Mytilus edulis: one gene and its partner. The main gene of each other region encodes a partner of the protein of the gene in region 2 in a complex. Links are inferred from orthologs where the notes say so. Each region holds a gene or a part of one and is shown on either strand. Other genes may lie near its edges. The genes, in order: 2-oxoisovalerate dehydrogenase subunit beta, mitochondrial-like; 2-oxoisovalerate dehydrogenase subunit alpha, mitochondrial-like.

The links.
Region 1: the proteins of 2-oxoisovalerate dehydrogenase subunit alpha, mitochondrial-like (region 2) and 2-oxoisovalerate dehydrogenase subunit beta, mitochondrial-like are in contact, whole or in part, in a crystal structure (PDB 1V16), measured with the Homo sapiens proteins. The link is inferred for Mytilus edulis from reciprocal best matches to the Homo sapiens genes BCKDHA and BCKDHB. Residues at the interface, in NP_000700.1 of Homo sapiens: Phe155, Leu185, Gly186, Lys187, Arg189, Gln190, Gly196, Cys197, Lys198, Phe202, Val203, Thr204, Ser206, Pro208, Thr211, Pro214, Gln215, Val217, Gly218, Ala219, Tyr221, Ala222, Arg225, Gly244, Asp245, Ala248, Asn251, Phe252, Thr255, Leu256; in NP_000047.1 of Homo sapiens: Pro89, Thr90, Val92, Asp117, Arg118, Phe120, Asn121, Thr122, Pro123, Cys125, Gln127, Gly128, Ile129, Gly131, Phe132, Ile134, Gly135, Ile136, Val138, Thr139, Asp158, Gln159, Asn162, Glu163, Ala165, Tyr167, Arg168, Tyr169, Arg170, Ser171.

The regions. Positions count from the first base shown.
Region 1 is NC_092353.1:73,440,773-73,447,892, forward strand, and holds the start of 2-oxoisovalerate dehydrogenase subunit beta, mitochondrial-like, read right to left. Parts: upstream 3,294-7,120; 5' UTR 3,245-3,293; coding exon 3,118-3,244; intron 1,923-3,117; coding exon 1,845-1,922; intron 555-1,844; coding exon 486-554; intron 1-485. Other genes in the region: arginyl-tRNA--protein transferase 1-like, read left to right, coding at 3,480-3,579. UniProt on the Homo sapiens protein: Together with BCKDHA forms the heterotetrameric E1 subunit of the mitochondrial branched-chain alpha-ketoacid dehydrogenase (BCKD) complex.
Region 2 is NC_092346.1:74,984,611-74,991,951, reverse strand, and holds the start of 2-oxoisovalerate dehydrogenase subunit alpha, mitochondrial-like, read left to right. Parts: upstream 1-4,082; 5' UTR 4,083-4,171; coding exon 4,172-4,267; intron 4,268-7,004; exon of another isoform or gene 7,005-7,060; coding exon of another isoform or gene 7,061-7,081; intron 7,082-7,341. UniProt on the Homo sapiens protein: Together with BCKDHB forms the heterotetrameric E1 subunit of the mitochondrial branched-chain alpha-ketoacid dehydrogenase (BCKD) complex.

The DNA of each region.
Region 1 (7,120 bases), on a different chromosome or scaffold from region 2:
TATTGTAAAATTTGAGAGATTTCTGTAATAAATTTCTTTTTTATTTCGATATTACCTATATTTCTCCTATTACTTCAACCACCTTTACAAAAATGTATACTTCTTTCGAGGGCAGATTGTGAGCGCAAATGAACGGTGACCCCACTTTTTTATTTTAATTTTCTATTAACTATATGATAAAGTTCATTTATAGAAAAAATAAAGAGAAATCCTATATAAATGATTTAGACCCGCGAACCCCCTTAATAGATTGTTTTCTTGAAAACTTTAGTTGACATCTAGAAGGTTTTTTTCTACTTGTGTTGTTGGGTTGATGTCTGAAAAATGCTCTGGATTCTTGAGGTCACTTTAAATTAGGATTTATTGATTTTAGTATTTAATTTAGTTAATATAAAATCATATTGGTAAATTTCTTGATTGTAGAATAAATTTCATCTTATTTTTGTACAGTAAATGTTTTTTTTCGCCTAAAAATATAAACTTGCCATATCTATCTTTTAATTCTACACTACATCTAAATACGCCACCGAATGCTACATCTTCTCCAAACAACACTGAAAAAAATAGATTTAAATCAAATATCAAATTAATATCAGAAGCAATGTTCACATTAAGAATTTTTGAAGGCAAGTACAATCTGTCCAGGGACTCATCATTTTTTGTCAACACCAGTTCATCAGTAAAATGAAATTTTATTACTGTACTACATAATTTATTACTTCAGTCTCTATGACCAAAAAAAAAAAAAAAAATGCAAGGAAATAATATAAAATTTAGAATATTTTAAAACTTTTGATATAAAATAATGAGATATTGATGCAGCATCTTTGCCATTCTTTGGACTCACTTATTTTAAAAAGATTAGTCTGGACAGGTTTTCACGAGTCCAGGACTTATGATCTACTCACCTTGTTGAGAACCCTGAGAAGAATAAAATCTTTCTCCAACAAAATGTGTCAATAGAAATTCTAATGCAACACCGTTTGTAATGTTCATTTTGATTGGATAACGTCACTTATTTACATGGCATCAATTGACAATTGATGTTATGGGACGCATGTGCAAACGCAGACGGCATTTGACATATTTTAAATACATGTTTTAACGTTGTTTTCTGTCAGTTTCATTAGAATGGAGATAACAATATTGTATTTTAAGCTCCGACGGAATCAATTGGGGATTTGATGGTCGCAAATATCTGTTTACTGTCTCTGCTAACGTGTTGCCAGTAAACTTTATTTGCGACCATGAAATCCCCAATTGATGCAGTCTGAGCTTAGAAAACAATACAGTTATCTCTTGAATATCAACCTTAGACACCAATATAATTCCAAGAACTCTGCTTTTTGCAACAATGACATCATGAAAATTAAAGGTATGATTAAGCCTTTGTAACTGGGATTGATATCAATATCATCACGGTTAGCTGATACAGCATGATTGCCATTGACCATATTACACACATTTTATCTATATTTATACAATGCATAATTTCCCCTTGTTTTGTTAATAGAAGAGAATCTATAAATATCAATATCATTTTGTTAGTTCAGTATTAAATCAGGAAGTTAAACATGTTAAAGTTTTGTTTACTAGACAACTAGTGGAACATTCCTTTCTAACAGATTCATAAATGATGTGGTGAATGCAGATGTTTCTTCTTATGTCATTATTTAATACATGCATTAACATTTAATTTTTTTTAACCAAAGGTTCTTTTTGTTTATATAATATTGTATACAGTACATGTATAGTTACACTTTTCTTTGCTTTCAAATTTTTAGATCTGAGCAATCAAGATGAGTTTTATTCAAGAATAAAGACAGAAGAGTTATCTCCCTTACCTGCTGATGGATCTGTAGATAATGCAATATCTAAAGCATTATTTACAGCTTGTACTAAATTCATACGAGTTGTCTCCCCTGAAAAGAGAAAGAAAAGGATTAAAAGATACAGCATTATAATAGATGAATAGACATTAACATAATGTTTCCAAAACAAATAATTAAAAGTAACCAATAATATTAAATGAATTGCAAATTTTGATCCTTCCAGCATGTGTCCTACAGCTGACAGATTGTGACATCAGAAATATTCTCTTGTTGACCTAAAAAAAAACCAGTAGACCAGATAATAGTGGCGAAGGCTAGGAGGAGATAATTCAAACCATAAAGCTTCTCACGCTAGCAAATTTAAATCTGAAATAGATACTTAGTATTTCAAGTGTCAAGTGATTTAAACACTGTAAGTGTAGAATACATATGTACTAGTGCAATGTCTACATGTAAGTAAGTAAGTAAATTATTTATTATAGTGGCATGTGTTTTTCACAAAATATTATATAATACACATGATACAGTGAGATATAAAAACAATAATTAGAACACCTGACCCTTTGGGTCTACAAGTCACTTTCGCCATAAATTTCAATGGTAAAACAACAAATATAAATGTTATCGAAAATTTTCATATAAGAATTTTTTTCTCTTACTGAAAGCTTGCAATAGATATTTAGCAGTATTTCTCGGATGTTGACATATATTTAAACTGTTCTTCATTTGATAGTATAAATATATTATATTGACAAATGTCATTTAATAGATGAAGCACTGGTTATGGGGTAGCCGGTCATGTAACATGTGACGTGTAAGAAGTACAGTTCACTTGGCTGCCTTTAATACATTCGACTGTGTACTGTATGACTGTGCAATTTTGATCCTAAATTAAAGTGTACATGTGGATGTTCCTCTTAACAATGAGCATGATGAGGAGGTTGTGATGTCTTATGGTCATTGTTGTCCATGCTTTCAGTTTGGATATTATTTGGAAAGTTGGATCTGTTTCATGCAATGGAGTGTGAAATAGTGAGCATTTCTTTGCATCAAAACCTCTCAATCCATGTATTGACAACAAATTTATCCACTTTTCTGTCAATGCAGGTATTAACCTTTAATCATCCTTGGTGCCATAAACAGAATCCATATCAAGTATTTTTAAAGTAATCTTTAAAGGGTATCTTTTATTGTTATATTTTCAAGATGTCATAATTATTTTTGATATATATTTTAGCAGGTGCCCTTTCCAAGTTCATTGCTACTGAGTAAGCAAATGAGTTACCGTGAGCAGCAGAGATTGTGTCAGGAACATATTGTACTGACGCACATCTGTGGACAGACAGAAAAGTCTGTAAATTCTTTTTTAAAAACCTTGCATTCTGCAAACACCGCAGAAACTTCCAGGACATAGTGTTGTTTCTGAAGCTAAATACACAGGAAGTGGATTTAAGGGCGATAACTCTAATATTTATTCAGAAATTTCCCCTTTCTGGGGTTTCCCACTTAAGGATTAGATTTCATAGTTACTTTTTGTTCATTATTTTGTCAAACCTTCTTTTTGGAATCTATGAAATATTTTTTTAGCGTTTTTCCTTTAATAATTTGTCAAAGTGAAAGTAGCTTTCTGCACTGAATATCCTTATCATGGCGTCCAAGGATTCATACGGAATCGTTGAGTGGTATGGAAATGGAAACGGACACCGCTGTGGTTATTGTAAAAGTCCAAATGGCAACATTTCAGATGGTAATTTTTAATGAATAATTCTCCATAATTATAGATAGTAATTGTCATGATCAACATTAATGAAAACAACAAATATGAGAGTTGTTGGCATGTTGCCATGACAAATGAAGCATCAAATCCCTATAAAGTGTCTATCATGCTCAATATATTTATTTTGATAATCTGCAAAGAATCACAAAAATACTCTTCAGAAACTTTCAAAATTGTGTATGATTTGGGCAAACGAATAAAGATCTATATACATGTAGATCTGTCTTCACATTTGTTTTAGGGTTTCCCCTCTCCACCCTGGTATCAGGTCCGTTCGCGCCCAATATACTTTCGCACCCTACACGTTCGCACCTCGCACGTTCGCACCCCGCACGTTTGCACCCAAGGTCCGTTCGCACTCTACACGTTCGCGCCCAATTTTAATTCAAATACCAGTTGAATAATTGGAAAATCATGATTGTTGTTTTTAATTGCTTTCGTGTAAATACTGAATGTATTTATAGCTTGGTATGAGTAAAAGATTGAATATGTTAGATCATTTTAAATGAAAAACACAAAAGATAATTGTTTTTAACAGCTTGGTCCCTTTGATCTGAAACAATGAAACAATAAAATATAGCAATACACTATTATAACCAAAACATGATAAAATTTATTCAACACACAAAAAAAACGTAGTCAGAATCTCACTTCATTTTGAAACAAGTCAATGAAACAAAGTTATAGCAATTAATACACTAACCAAAAAATGATTACGAGTTATTCAACACAAAATAAATCGTTGACAGAATCCCACTTTATTTAGAAAGGAATCTTTTTTTTTTTTAACAATACACTATCCAAAACATGATTAAGATTTATTCAACACCAAAAAAAAAATGCTGTCTCACTTTATTTTGAGACAACGAAAACAATTATACTTATAAGAATACTATACTTGCCAAAACATGATTACAAAGTTATTAAACTCAAAACCAATTAAAGTTGGGCGCGAACATGTAGGGTGCGAATGGACTTTGGGTGCGAACATGTAGGGTGCGAAAGTGAAAGGGGGCGAACATGAGTGGGTGCGAACGTGAATGGGCGCGAACGGACCCGCAATTTTACACAGGATTACTTAAAAATCCTTTTGATTTACTTCACTTGTCTTGAAATTTCCCTTGCATTGCTGCAGTCTTTTTTTTATTTTGAATGACATCATTTTGTCTTCAAACATGAGATTTATTCTAGAAAAAGATAATAATCATGATAATCTTCAATCATCATGGTCATTGATTTTTCAAAAATATGATATATATTTCACAAAATGGTTCAAGGAGGATTATTATGACCGTGCAAGGACTTTATATAGCCAGTCAAGGTGGTTAAAAAACCCAATACTTATTCAAATACAACATCTATAGACATAAATTTATATATATCAATGTAAAATGGCTGAATAAATAGTCAGGCCACACTTAAAAATATTTTGGTTTGCCCAAACTCTAACCAAAAATTAAGTCAATGGGTAGGTAGATAGGCATTTTCTTTTTTTTTTTTCAAAAAAAGAAATTGAAGTATCAGATGTTTATTAGTCTTCATGTCTATTTGATTAAAAAAAACTTCTTCAAATCAGGACAGTAAAAGAATTTGAGTAGGCAGCTTTTTTCTGGGAAGTTAGCGTTTGGGCAAACAAACCTATTATTTATTATGGCCCCAACGATTAATCTTACAGGGCGATGGATTATTTGGCATATCTTTGTAATCTTTGAGCCGGTGTTATATAGCCATTCTTCCCCCATGCCAGTTTTTCCCCCGGGGGTTGGAGAGGGGGAACATATCTCCCCAAAGGTTTGATTAAGTTTCACCCTTATAGGACTTCTTCTGAATGAAAGCTTTAAGGCGATGAGTATTTTTCTCAATCCATGCCTTTGATGGGTACTTTTACCTTGTGGTACAAAAATTATTTATCATGTAAAGTCAAAATCGTGGTTTAAGTAGTTGTATTCATTAGGTCAATGATACCAAGGGTTCACGAATGAGAATGGATGTGATCACTGCATCAGAATGTGCTTCGTTTGTATAAATATAACTTGTATGTATACATGGTATATATAAATACTTATCAATTTATATTAATACGGTGAAGCATTGGTACCGCTAAACTAATCAAAAAGTTAATATTCTTTTTTTAGGATAATAATTTCTAGCCGACTTTATAAATTTATAAAGGGGGAAAAACTAGCTCATCATGCCGCAAAGGGGAAAAATTGGCCTGATCCTCGTTTTCCCCCTATAACGTTGAGGGGGAAAAGTTGGATCATGCCAATTTTTCCGGGGGGAAATATTGGATCGATCCAGTTTTTCCCCCCGGAAAAATTGGCATGGGGGAAGAATGGCTATAGGACACCGGGTTCAGTGGTTGTTGTTGGTTCATGTCGTTTGTGTATGTTTTTTTTTGTAAATTATTTTGTAATCAATAATCCTGTTAGTTTTGTTTGTTTTGTTCCCTAATTTGTATGGTCGGAGCATTTTATAGCCGACTATATATGTTTTTTTCCCTCACTTTTGGAGGCCGTACAGTGGCCTTTTATTACTTACTACCAGGTCTGTGTAACTCCGGTGGATATTTGTATCATAAGTGCTATATCGTGGTCGACCCTATATATACACCTTTAGGGCAGGTGGAATATTTTTGTAGATCTTGTACAGCGAGTCACAATAATGGAGGTAATTCCTGTACTTCCACGTTTCCACTGCACGTCTCCCATGCTGGTTGGAGAGGGGGAACATATCTCCCCAAAGGTTTGATTAAGTTTCACCCTTATAGGACTTCTTCTTCTGAATGAAAGCTTTAAGGCGATGAGTATTTTTCTCAATCCATGCCTTTGATGGGTACTTTTACCTAGTGGTACAAAAATTATTTATCATGTAAAGTCAAAATCGTGGTTTAAGTAGTTGTATTCATTAGGTCAATGATACCAAGGGTTCACGAATGAGAATGGATGTGATCACTGCATCAGAATGTGCTTCGTTTGTATAAATATAACTTGTATGTATACATGGTATATATAAATACTTATCAATTTATATTAATAAGGTGAAGCTTTGGTACCGCTAAACTAATCAAAAAGTTAATATTCTTTTTTTAGGATAAAAATTTCTAGCCGACTTTATAAATTTATAAAGGGGGAAAAACTAGCTCATCATGCCGCAAAGGGGAAAAATTGGCCTGATCCTCGTTTTCCCCCTATAACGTTGAGGGGGAAAAGTTGGATCATGCCAATTTTTCCGGGGGGAAATATTGGATCGATCCAGTTTTTCCCCCCGGAAAAATTGGCATGGGGGAAGAATGGCTATAGGACACCGGGTTCAGTGGTTGTTGTTGGTTCATGTCGTTTGTGTATGTTTTTTTTTGTAAATTATTTTGTAATCAATAATCCTGTTAGTTTTGTTTGTTTTGTTCCCTAATTTGTATGGTCGGAGCATTTTATAGCCGACTATATATGTTTTTTTCCCTCACTTTTGGAGGCCGTACAGTGGCCTTTTATTACTTACTACCAGGTCTGTG
Region 2 (7,341 bases):
GAGTGCCAATGAGACAACTCTCCATCCAAGTAACAATTTATAAAAGTAAACCATGTTTTTTACAAGAGAGATAGCTTGAGATTTCTCTGGGTAGCCTGCATTTTGTTTGAAGAAAACCACAATATTAAATTATTGCCGTCTTCCTCAAGAACATAAATGACATCTTGTACGGAATTTCCCGACTGACTTTGACAAAGTATTGGCCTCAGAATAATCATATAAAGAACAATTCTTAATAAAAATTTACTATTTAATATTAACTTCAGGAAAAAAATGTACGGTGACACCATCTTTGTTTTGAAATTCTGAAATAATTTTCTAAAATCTATCTTCTCGTATTATATTCTGCAATTCTTTCATTTAGTTTATCTTCTAGTCACAAACTGATGGTTGTTCCTGTATAATCCGCACACAATCATGTTGTCATTTATTCACAATCTGTAGCTTGAGAAAAAACTCGGTGACCTATCATTTGGATTATATTTTTGAATCACAATATATACTTCGCCTTGGCAAAGTATGAACACATTCTATCATCTTTAATTCATTATCCCATACCACCTTAAATATGTCATGCATACCACTTAAAATTTTGATTTTCTTTCACCCACTGATTTTTTGTTGTTGTGAAATTACCATACAACATATCAAGTGAGTTTTTTTTTAAAGACCATACTATTTTAGTTTCATTTGTAGTCAGTCATAAGGGAGGCAGTCAAAAGCTTTTCACAATCCACCAGGATAGCTGCAAGGTATTTATTTTGGTATAGGGCTAATTTCCATTCTTCAATCACTCTTAATAAAATTGACCGACATCAAATGCTTGATATAAAAGCTGCAAAAAATAGATTGAAAATATTATCAAAGTACTGTCGTACTTATTGTACTTCAGTGACATAAAAAAAAAAAGAGTAGAAATGGCCGGTAACACATAAGTTTTACCGGTCTATAAAAACCTTTTTCTACCGTATTTTTTTGTGAATAGGTACAACTTGAGCTTCCTTATTATGACCAGGGACTGTTTAAAAGGATGGTCGAAAAATACCAAAGGGACAGTCAAACTCATAGATCGAAAACAAACTGACAACGGCATGAATAAAAAAGAAAAAGACAAACAGACAAGACACAACATAGAAAAATAAAGCCTAAGCAACATGAACCCCACCAAAAACCTGGTAGTGATCTCAGGTACTACGGAAGGGTAGGCAGATACAAGCAGATCATGCAGTCCAAATGTGACACCTGTCGCGTTGCACATGTTATTACAAATCCGGTAAATAGTCTAATTCGGTTAGTCACATTCGTGAAAAGGGAAGGAGATTGTACGGGTATATTCCATAAAATATATTTTTGAAGTTTCATTCTTTACCGTTTCAATTTTTGATAAGTTCTTAACGTATTTTCGATGATTTAACTATTTGTCATCATTTCAAAGACCATTTTTCTATGATCATGCTTTTTATGGAAAAAGTAATTTGCCGTTTTCCAAGACATGTGAATAATTAAATTTGACAGTAAATTAATTTTTCGAAGCAAATCCTTGCAGGTTACTTCATATTAGATATATTGTCTTGTAAGACTCTGGCTTTGACTTTAAAATATGCCGAGTCAGAATCCTATGATGAGATGATTTTAGAGACTGAATACAAACGAGAAGCATACATAATCAGCGAATATAGCTACTCTACTCAGAATCATCGAAGACTGGAAAACGGCACTTGATCAAAATAAGTTTATTGGCTCAATTCTAATGGATCTATCTAAGGCTTTCGATTGTCTCCCTCACGATCTTCTACTGCTTAAGCTTGAGGCATATGGTCTTTCGACTTCCTCATTAAAACTCATTAAAAATTACTTATCTAACAGGAAACAATGTGTTCGAGTTGGCTCTAGTCTGAGCAATTGGCAAAACATATATAAAGGAGTACCACAAGGTTCTATTCTAGGTCCTATACTGTTTAACATCTTCATTAATGACATATTTCACTTCACCACAAACAGTTCATTTTACAATTATGCTGATGACAACACATTATCTTATGCAAATAGAGATATAAACACCGTTATCTCCATACTTGAAAAAGACAGTTTGGCTCTGATAGAATGGTTTTCTTCCAATCAAATGAAGGCAAACCCTGAAAAATTTCAAGCTTTGGCAATTGGCAAAACAACAATGGGCAAAAACATTACATTTGATCTAGCAGGTAACAAAATAAAATGTGAAAAAGAGGTCAAACTATTAGGCATCACCATTGACTTTGAACTAAATTTCAACACGCATATATCAAACATCTGCAAAAAAGCATCCAGACAACTAAATGTTTTAAAAAGACTTGGCAAATACTTAAACAAACTTGGAAAACTAACAATATATCACTCCTTTATTATGTCAAACTTTAATTTCTGCTCATTGTCCTGGCATTTCTGCAGCGAGGCCAACACTACAAAAATTGAAAAAGTACAAGAAAGAGCACTTCGCTTCATTTACCAGGATCACAATAGCACATATGAAGACTTACTTTTAAAATCAAAAATGCCATCACTTAAAGTAAGACGCCTAAGAACCATGGCAATAGAGGTCTTTAGAACAGTCAATCATGAAAACCCAATGTACCTCCATGATCTTATAAAGATTAAAAAAACAAAATATTCTTTCAGATACCAAAATTTAGCTGAAATACCTGACGTAAGAACAACAAGGTATGGCTTGAAATCTTTCAGATATTCTGCTGCCAAACTATGGAATGAGTTGCCAAACCACTTTAGAACTGAAACATCTTTTACCCAATTCAAGAGTCTAATAAACTCATGGAATGGCAACTCATGCCATTGCAATGCATGTGCTTAGTTTTATTTATTTTATGTTACAGCTTGAAAATAATAGTGCTGCTTTTTGTGAATGTTTGCTTAGCTTTTTATAATTTATGAATGCTGTGCTTTATTTTTTATGTTTGCTTTTAGTGCTTATTCTTATGCATGTATAGAATATAGTATTTAAATAGTGTAGCCTAAATGTGCATGAAATGTATGTTCTATGTCTTTTATGTTTTAATATTTGTATTGTGTATGTTTGTTATGTAAATGTATGCATTTGTCGGTTATAAAAGCTCAGAGAGCTTATGTTTATTTGTTATGTAACATGCCGACTATAAATAAAGCTTTGAATATTAAGTGCCTTACAGTGATCTACATTAGTTTCATAATATGTATAACGTGACGGTACCCAAATTGCACCTATTTTGACAGTTTTTTCACCTACGTTTTTTTATGATAAAGACAAAAATTTCCATTCTGTGTTTATTTTGTAACCGTATCCTTCTTTATTATAGAAGTACATCAATTTCATTTTTAATCCATATGGAATCAAAGAAAAATTGGTCTAAACTGACCTCCAAACCATCAATGATTCTGAAATGAGGAGTACCCAAATTGCATCCATGCTTAAATTCGCACTGTCAAAATTCTAATAACAGAGCTTTTGTTTAATTTCTTCAAATATTTTGAACAATTGGATATTAGTCCATGCTTACTCTTTATTTTTTTTTCAAATGGATACTTGTAACATATTGTATTTGATCATTTTAAAAAGATGACGTTTTGATGACGTCGCATGGCGACGTTTCAGTACAAATTTTTAGTTTTTTAGTAAACACTTCACCTGTTGATAAATACTGTGAACGTTTTGTGCATATCTAAATAGTTTTACCTATGTTGAAAGATGTGCATAGTATCAGATCATAAAAATACAAATTGTTTACGGTCTCTAGGAAATCTTGTTAGATTATTTTTACTATTTTGGCTTAATAGGTGCAATTTGGGTACTCGGTGCAATTTGGGTACCGTTACGTTAAAACTTTTATATTGATTTTGGAACATTCAAATACGATAAGATAAGATAAGGTACGAAATAAAATTCAAATTCAAATTTAAAATATCTATTGAGATTGATTAATTGTATTATATGTCTCTGATTTGCATAAGGTCGGAGTGACGTCCATTCTATATATTCAACACAGATCATATTTCAATGATTAAGATTTTTAAAATAACAGATTACGCCGTTTGTCTGAAACTAGTAATCCCTTTTCGACGTTCTCTAGAGTTTTCCATTAAACAATTGTTTACTATGTAGTTGCTTTGAAGGACAAAATATTTTATAGAAGAAAACGAAATGGCTTTGCTTAGACGTCTTCTGTCTCCCAGAATAACACAGATAATAGGCTTTCAAGCTAAGCAACTGTCAACGTCTTCCAAATGCCAAAATGTGGTTCGTGTTACTTTGTTTTTTATTGGGTTCTTTTTGTATAATTTTGTATTTTTGTATTTTTTTTTTTGTATTTTTTTTTTATATATTGACATTTCTCCGCACAAACTACTAAGATCTACTAATGCCTCATGTTTGTCTTCTCAAAGTGAAGATACACTTACCGGGTGCACTTGAGTCATTTTCAACATAGTATTCATTGAATAATAATACATTGCTACTATTTTGTTGAGTGTATTTTCTGAGTTATATTATTTTATTTTATTATTTTTATAACACTTGTTACATATCTTTACTGTGTGTGTATTGCATATGTTATTGTTTATAAAAATATTGTCTGTATCATATGCCCTCCTGGGGCCCTAATTTGGTAAATAAAAATATTCTATTCTATTCTATTCTGTACATTAGTCGTCATGCAGTGCATTTACACAGGAATCCGGGTCCGTTCGCCCAAATTCACTTTTACGATCGCACCCTGTGAAAGTGTGAATAATTAATAGTGTCATGTTGATAGTTCGCATACCTGCCAACTGACATTATTTGTGGGGTATTTCCCCCATGGAGGCTCCAAAATGGAAATTTTGAAAGAGCAATTTTGTCCACAATTTTTAGGTACGGAAAGTGATTTTTTTAAAATCAACTGATCTAAGAAAACTTAACCTCATTTTAAAGGCATTGTGAAGACATTTTCAAAACACTTTTATCAATACACATAATAACAACGGAGAAATAGCAAATTTTCAAAATGGAAATTTTTTACTATTCTGGAAAAACTGTTTCCTCTCTTTAAAAAATAATAAAATATATTTTTTTTTAATCATTTGGGTTATAGTTTTGTTTATATTGCTTCTTTTACATCTTGTTAGTCAATTTTAATCCTCCATATTAAGTTTTTTGGTTAAAATAAAAGCATAAAGCATGAAAATGTCAACCACTCTCATGAAATTCTATCGTTCAAAGTCACATAACATGACGATAACTTTATATATTCCTTTTTTCAGAGCATCAGTTGGTATATTGAAAATGTAAAGTAAAACTTATAAACATTTGAATGTAAAGAAACAAAATATAAATATGAATATTACTCTTTATATATACAAATGTATATGTTTAATTGTGTGTGTGTATAAAAAAGAAGATGTGGTATGATTGCCAATGAGACAACTCTCCACAAGAGACCAAATGACACAGAAATTAATAACTATAGGTCACCGTACGGCCTTCAACAATGAGCAAAGCCCATACTGCAAAGTCAGCTATAAAAGGCTCCGAAATGACAAATGTAAAACAATTCAAACGAGAAAACTAACGGCTTAATTAATGTCCAAAAAATGAACGAAAAACAAATATTTAACACATCAACAAACGACAACCACTGAATTACAGGCTCCTGACTTTGGACAGGCACATACATACAGAATGTGGTGGGGTTCAACATGTTAGCGCATGCCCAATCCTTCCCCTGACCTGTCACAGTACAACATAAGAACGAACTATAAAAATCAGTTGTACCATGAGAGACAAGAATTGTTTTGAAATATGTCATGATTGTCATCTGTCTTTGTATAGTCATGATAGTTTTAGAATGTTCCCTTTTCATTAACATTCAATTTAATGAAATATTCTTATTCTTATATATAGCATGTATAGTAAATGCTTATGAATAAAAATAAACAACAAGCTTTTAACAATTATTCTACAGGACTAAAATACCTGTTGCACTGAAAAACAATGAAAATAATATAACATTATTTTTTATTCGAGAAATTTCAAACAAAATAATTATGTCAGATCACTGTAAATACTTGTACATGTATGTATAAAAGTAAAGTAAATTCATATCTGTATATCAGTTACAATATTAATACAGTGAAATCTGTAAACCAATCTCATTCAGGACTGAAGTTCAAAATGCATTGAATGTGAATAGCATTCGAAGTGAACTGCCACTACTGCATGGATTCCTATGTATGTTTTTAGTTGAACATGTTGAAAATACATATATTGATTGTTTTAAACCACATTATTCAGTATCCTTACTATCTCATGTGCAATGACAAGTGGTTGAACTATCTTTAAATTGCAATAAACTGGCTGTATAATGCAAAAAAAAACAACCTATCACCGCTGATTTCCAATCAAAACTAAACCAAAAGTTGTCCATGCAAGGGAAATAACTCTGTATACACAAAAAGGAGGCTTATTTATAAAAAATAATTTTGATATGAACACAGCTATCTAGATATATTTATTGGACCCAATTATTTAATTGATATATTAAACTTAATAAAAAAATACATTTTATGGCTGTATAAAGTTCCCTTGTATTTTTTTTAAACGAATGTAACTTTCAAACCCTTGTTTGTACCTCAAATATTTCATGTATTCCCGAAAATTATAATATACTAAATCATGTATATTCATATAATATCTATCAAAAGCAATCAGAACCTTCTGAGACTTAACAAGTTAATAGAAGGCTGTAATCGGAGGTCGCCCAAAGATTTTATATTTACACACATCTGGGAACAATTATTTAGGGTAATTTGGAGTTATCTCCCATTGGTTTGCCATACCTACAATTTTAAACAAAACAATAAAATGAACAATACACCTAATCGCTATTTATTCCATTCCGGATAAGTTTTAAAATTAAAAAGTTTAAAAATTTAAAATCCCGGTCGCTTGACCTTTTCAGGCATACAATATACATGTAATCACTTTTCCATTGTGACGTCAGATATTTTGTTTTATGACGTCAAAATTTTACAGGAACCTGTGTGATATCTTCTAATGGCGGACAAATCAGATAAGGTGTATGGCTATAAGTTTGTAAAAGTATAAACAACCAATAAACAGCATTTAAATATATTTGAAGGCCCCCTTAAAGGTTTTGAAAAACTATGAGAGAAATCTTGCACGTTAAACCCTCATGGGATTTTTGAAAAGTTGGTAGGTATGAGTTCGTCTCAAAGACTTGTAAACGAAATGCAGAAGATTCCAATTGACTATCAAACTCACAAAACACTCAGCTGTAGAAAATATTCATCTTTCATTTTTTTTTTCATTTTAAT